Linked DNA regions of Xenopus tropicalis. The protein of the gene in region 2 purifies or fractionates together with the protein of the main gene of each other region. This does not show direct contact. Links are inferred from orthologs where the notes say so. Each region holds a gene or a part of one and is shown on either strand. Other genes may lie near its edges. The genes, in order: eya3 and fhl2.

Region 1 (3,525 bases), about 32 Mb from region 2:
CCAGTGCTGGTGACTGACCCCAACTTCCAAAGTCTGCTTCTTCAGTGATAAAATACTTATGTAATGTTTCCTTTCGTTCCTTTGCAAACAGAAAGTGATAATGAAAAACAGGTATGGTAATCCAGAAAGTGCACCAGATGAAGGGCATTTCCTATGCTGCCATACACACAGGCAGCATAGGGCAGGCAGTACATACAGTGACAATGCTGGCACTGCTTCTACAGTCTAAGGTGTGAACAATGTGGGCACTTAAAGTCTGAGCCTGAGGTGTGAACAGTACAGATTTAGGTGAACAGTACAGATTTAGCAATCTAATGTAGTTTTGTGATTTGGATATAACTATTTTTCTCTTTTAAAATTTTAAATGTTAAGTGGTATAACTTCTGGTCAATGTACCAGTACCACTGGTATGTGATGGTGGCTTGATGAGACTTTTGCATGTTGGGCACTCTTTGTTCAGTCCAGTCATATGGCCATTAATGTAGGTAAGAACATTATTCAGTAATCAGTAACTGTATGGTTTGCATGTATGTAGGACTGCTTTTTCCAACCTCATCAAATACTGAAATTTTATTCCCAGTTAAGACACACAAAAATGAGAAAAACATTAAAATAAATGTAAACACTAAACCCTAACTTGAAATGAGAAATGAAAAATCTTGCTTTTTTTGAATAATGAAAGAAGTACAGAAAACCAAGAAATGAAAGAAGAAGAAAAAAAAAATCCACATTTTAATAAGTTACTGTCATCCAAGGTGATATCATGGTTAGGGGTGTTCTCTCCCCAATCGAGGTATTTCAGAAACTTTTCCAGAATGGCAGTCCAGAAAAAAAAGAAAGAAATCATATGCAATTTCTTCAGTTACTATTAAAAATCCCAGAAGTGTATTTGTAACCTGATGGGTGCAGACTCCATGGTAGAGAGCTGTAAAGCAGTAGTAGTATCTAGTCTGATGCAGACAATCTATCTTAGATTTGTTTACTTCATGTGAAAAGGTGGTACGGGTTTATAGGAAAATCAGAACCCACTGCTACAATTATTTACGGATTTTAAAGAACAGATACTGTGAAAAACTAACAGGCATATAAATCTCCCTACCTGCATTAAAACAGAATTGACTACTGATGGCTTTCAGCAGAAATTCTAGTAGGAGAAGGAGAAAAAGTTGGCTATCTAAAAGTGGGCTTTAAAGGGGAAGGAGGATGTATAGCAGGAGGTTAGGATCTTGAAACTGATGAATGGTGGCATCTTGAATGAAACTGTAGAAAATGTCTCAATCTTCTGTTGTGGCCAGACCTCTGGATCTGAAGCCGAACTAAGTCTTTCAGATCAGTTACATTTTCATCTTAAGCCTAAAGCTTATGGCCAGTTTGTTACTCTTGGGCCTGAATGCAGGTCTTTGGGTTTCTAAAAGGCTTGAAGTCCACTTTCTTACAGAGATCCTCACAAGAAGTCCAATTCCAGAGCTTGGTGTAGTGAGATGAGGTCATTGTGGTTTGTTATTCTCCAGAAGGGCATATTGTGCTAAATGGATCAGAAAAAGGAAAATCATTTGACACCTGGGTAACTACCCAAAATGCACACTATATTTTTTAGACTGGGTGTATGCGCTCTTATACCTTGTAATATGGACAACAGGAAAGGGCTAGAGGAGGTCCAGACTGGCCCAAACAGCCCCCCAACAGGCCCAATAATAGTGATTATCTATGTCATCTTAAAGCAGCTCCTCTGGCTGCCATTTTCCAAAATCCACAGTTTCCCTAAACTGGTGGCACAAACATGGGGACCAGAAAGTATCAGCCTACTGGTTGAAGTTTGGAATATACTTTTAACAAACTTTGTCAAACACATGGGGGAGTTCTCAAGTTTCAGATTTATGACTTATTAATTTCATATCACCATAATTACATAGCTTGTAAAGGGGTTGTCTCTCTGTTATATCAGTGCACATCAATATGGACAAATATATACAAATAATACATTTCCAATATACCTGTTTTGCAGCCATCTCTTCATCTCTCCCATCTCCAATTACCACATAAGTGACTTTCTTCCCAAACCTTGTCACTATTCTTTCAAAGCAGCTTTCTTTTCCTAAGAAGGAAGTAAGAAAAAATGCCTAGTTTTACTAATGATAAATATAAGTACAATGACACAGGCAATGGGTCTGTAAGCTGGATTAAAGAATACTAGGGTTAAAATAGGCAAGTTTTGCCTTTTGCCCTTTAAGTTGAATGGCTGCCACCATAGCTGCATAACAGCTAATTTATGTAACTAGTACAGTTTGTGAATCAAATACACAATGCATTACATTTAAATGCATATAAAATATTAGTGTTACTGGTCAATTATAGAAAGCAAGTAAGTATAATGTTGTCCATGAAAGTTTCTCCTGTTTAAAGCACTGTGATCTTTGGGTGAGGAATTGTTGTTTGAGGAAGTAAGTGATGATATGTATTATGTTGCAGGTTCTTGCTTATCAGCCATATATCAGACTGTGCCGTTCAGAGTGAAGGTTTGAGGGCTGCATGTAGCGCCTGCCAAGGTATTTTTATAGTCACAATCTGCCCAGTGGTTCAATTAACTTTTCAATGTGACATTTTTATTTAAATCTGGTCTTGAAATGTGATATGTTTTGTAAGTGGCCAGTACATGGGAAGTGATTTACAGTGCAGATCTAATACAACTACAAGCGAATCATACAATAGCAATGTTTCAAAGGATTTACTGACAACTGTTATTTATGTTTTGACACAAAATTAAATAAAAGGAACAACCAAAAGTATTTGTGCTCCCACATTCGGTACAAGCCTTGGACTCACTTCACAGAATATTACTTGCCCCTAAGGTTAAAGGAGAAGGAAAGGCTAATAAAGAGTTAATCCCAAGCTGCAGGCATACCTTCAGTTCTCTCAATAGTGCCCCTAAGTCTCCCCATATTTCAGCCGTTCAGAAGATCAGAAGCCAAACAAAGAAAAAAAATGCTGAGCTGGGTAGAGAAGATTTCCCATAATACATCGCTCCCCCAAGACTTAGAGATTCGTTACTGCAGGCGGCGCATGCGCAGAGGGCAGAAGCGTCTGGTTGCCATGGCGACCCAGCATCGCTGAGTTCTCTGACAAGCAGGAGGGGGAGGGCGAGCTGGTGCTGTGAGCGGTGATTGTTTGTGGCAGGAGCGGGGGTTTGTAGAGCTTGGGGGGGTTTGTGCAGCTGCAGAAACTTTGTAACAGGAGCAGGGAGCCGGCTTGTGCTTTTCAGCCCATAGAGACACGCTGGATAAGATGGCGGCGCCGTTCACTGAAACAAGCGTGTAAGTTCTAGTAAGTGTATCTCTGTAAATCTTTCATTAGGCAAGCCAGGAATATAGCGTTTTTACACAGCAATAGTAGTACTTTTTAATAGTGTGCTTAATAGATTTTGCCTTTCCTTCTCCTTAAAGTCCTTCAGGCTTATCTGCCCAAGTATGGGGACTCCCGACAGGCCTCCCTGACCAATATCTGCCCAAAAATTGGCCAGGTGTCATT
Region 2 (3,221 bases):
AATTTTCACCCATTGATAAATAAGTTTTTAAAAAATCCCACTGGAATGAATAGAACGTTGGTGAGTTTATATGTATTAAGCTGTAAACTCACATTTTAATCATTCTGCCCCTAATTAGTAATTAGTGCTATTAGTAATTTAAAAGAGAACATAAACTATAGTCCAACACATGTACCACTTATAGGGTTGGTGCATCCAGCACATTTCTTGGCATACAGGTTGCAGAAGCAATTCAGACAGTAGGCAAATTCATCACGAGAGGTGAAGCGTTGACCAGATAGCGGTTTCTTGCATCCTGTACAAATAAAGCATTCCTTATGCCAAGGCTGATCTCGGTATGTAACACCTCCAGTAGTGATGGCCTATATGACAATAGAATTAAAAGAATCAGTCTCAAGTCTTTTCAGCAAAATCAATTCATCATCAAGAAAAGTACTAAATATCCAAAATGGTAGAAAGGAAATAATGGAGTTTAAAGCTGGTCATTAAGTCAGATCTGGATGGCCAATTGACTTGTTTTTTGTAGTGTACATCATGCACACTGCTTGAAATTCAAATACTGAAACTATAAAACTGTAAACTCTGCAATATAGGCCTTGTGCTGGCCATCAGTGTCTGCACTAAGTTAAATAATATTTATTGATATTAATACTTAATAATAATAATAATAATAATAATAATATTTTATCATTATTATATCTTGTTTGCGTATAAGTAAATTTTTCACTCGTTAGCTTTGTCATTCTTGGAAAAGCACTTATTTCAGTAGAAAGACAATGGGGGCGTTGAAGTTTGTATTTGCTGTACTTACAATCAGGCTTTATTTCACAGGCTTTAAACACTATTGTGTTTTCTTGTGTATTATACATATACATTTTTTGGTTCTATAATAATTATGACATTTCCAGTACCTTCTTGCACTGGACGCAGTGCATTGCAAATTGTTTTTCATAGCATGCCACACAGAAATTCTGATTATCCTTTGGAATGAAGCTTTTTGTCCCTATGGGTTGTTGGCAACGGGAGCAAATAAAGCAGGTCTCATGCCAGCTGTTACCTTTATACTCCATCTTGCGAGTTCCTGTAACAGAGGTTGCACAGTTAGAGTCCAGGGAAACTCTTTCCGTAATTTGGATCTCCTACCTTAAGTCTGCTAATAAAATAATTTAAACAGTAATTAAACCCAATAGCATTATTTTGGCTCCAATGGGGATTAATTATAACTTAGTTGCAATCAAGTACAAGGTTCTGTTTTATTATTACAGAGAAAAAGGAAATCATTTTTAAAAATGTGAATTATTTGATTAAAATGGAGTCTATGGGAGACGGCCCTTCTGTAATTCAGAACTTTCTGGATAATGGGTTTCCGGATAAGGGGTCCGATACCTGTACTATATAAATACTGCTCCAAAATCATTACAAAGTAATTTGTTTTTCATTCACTTTTTGTAATGAAAAAAAAAGAACAAGATGTGGTTAAAAAATACAAGATTTTGCACATTTACAAATGATCCATTCAATGTTATATAAAGAGCAGGCAATTACACCCACAATAAGAACAATTGCTAACATTACTTTTGTCTGCCTTGTAATGGAAGTTGAAGTATCAAAGCTGAGACTCCATGGTTGCCCTCCAAATTTTTTAAAGTAAATTTGAAAAAATAGTGGGCCATGGCTTAACTTACTAGTTATTATTGCCCAGCACATGTCTGAACTATTCTTATATAGCTACAAGTTTAATCCATTGCTACAGCCCCACACTACCACCAGCAGGGTAGCAATCAGGGGGGACAGGGGGACTGTTCTTCTGGGGCCAATGACAGCGCAGAGCAGGGGCATGAACTTAGGGCAAACTTCACCCCCAATAAACCTACTGTTAATTAGTATATTAATTAATGGAACTCTATATGAACTGCTTATTACAGAGTAACATCAGCTGTTTATATTACACACACAAGATTTTGGTCCCGCACACTTGTGTTCATGGGGGGCCCATATAAATAACTTGTATAGGGCCCAAAACTTTCTGATGGCAGCCCTGACCACCACTGATGCTCTTCTCTTTTGAAACATAAATAAAAATCTGTAATAGAATACCTGGGCAAATTAGTCAAGGCAAATGGGCAGAAATACAAATAAAGGGTCAAAGGAAAACCAATAAAGAGAGAAATTAAAATCCTCTTCTCTAAGGTAATAGTTCCCCTGTTGCACTGAATGCTGTAGGTAGGGGGATCAACCTGAAGATCTGGGTAGCTTGATTTGGTATCCTTAATCCATTTACTGTGTGGTGGACACTTTTTTGCTGCCTCTAGATACTCTTGTAACTACTACTGATCTGCTGATACAATGCTGTATAAAATATCTGTGACGTTGTTATATTCAAAGGGAAGGACCACAAGAAATGTGGGACACCACAAGATCATTACTGATCCTGGGAACATTCCACTTGCACCCCAGCACTCCAGTCTGGCATTGTCTTTAATGCAAAATGTGTACATTGTACTGAATTACATGATATATGGTATGTTGTATTAGCAGAAGCCTATGAGTATAAATAGCTTCAGGAAATGCAGTTTTACCTCTAAATTGCCTGAAAAGTAGACAGAATGATACTAAGTTGTAAATAGCATGGCGTGTGATCATAATTATTCTCCTAAATTAGAACAAATGAGGAACAGAATTTTACAGGAAGATCCCCATCACAGCGCTGTGACACCAGCTGGCTGCTACTGCAGGCTTCCCATTGAATTTTAATTATAAAAAGGGATATTTATAATAGGTGCTTAAGGACTGCAGACTAAAACCTATGTCTGAACTGATTTTTGAGGCACATGCTATGTAATTGGCTTCCTTGTTATAAATCAGTTCCCCAGGATTTTTCCTACTCAAATAAAAAAGTAAATAAAATCCAATCCACTACATATACAGTAACCCAGCAGGTCTGTACCAGACATACTACAGCCTAGGCATTGGTGGTCAAGTTAAATTAGAAACATGTGAAACTGCACATTTTGCACATTCCATGTGCAAAGTCTTTCCCTCTTTTTCCACCCAGAGGAATAGCAGATTCTAACCTGGCAGAAATAGAAATGGAGTGTACAGGATGTAACGGTAAAGACCTTAGGAACTAATGGGTTACCCTCCCAAATGCTCCATCTGGATGAAAAATATATTTATCCCTTTCCCGTCGTAATCATTTAATTGCATCTCCCTTTCTGTTC

What was found.
Region 1: the proteins of fhl2 (region 2) and eya3 purify together in Homo sapiens (affinity purification with mass spectrometry; 3 studies listed by BioGRID and IntAct, with this or other methods). This does not show direct contact. The link is inferred for Xenopus tropicalis from reciprocal best matches to the Homo sapiens genes FHL2 and EYA3.

What each region holds. Positions count from the first base shown.
Region 1 is NC_030678.2:79,400,683-79,404,207, reverse strand, and holds the end of eya3 (eyes absent homolog 3), read right to left. Parts: intron 2,096-3,525; coding exon 1,995-2,095; intron 1,526-1,994; coding exon 1,445-1,525; 3' UTR 546-1,444; downstream 1-545. UniProt on the Homo sapiens protein: Tyrosine phosphatase that specifically dephosphorylates 'Tyr-142' of histone H2AX (H2AXY142ph). 'Tyr-142' phosphorylation of histone H2AX plays a central role in DNA repair and acts as a mark that distinguishes between apoptotic and repair responses to genotoxic stress.
Region 2 is NC_030678.2:111,696,037-111,699,257, forward strand, and holds part of fhl2 (four and a half LIM domains protein 2), read right to left. Parts: intron 1,082-3,221; coding exon 912-1,081; intron 363-911; coding exon 176-362; intron 1-175. UniProt on the Homo sapiens protein: May function as a molecular transmitter linking various signaling pathways to transcriptional regulation. Negatively regulates the transcriptional repressor E4F1 and may function in cell growth.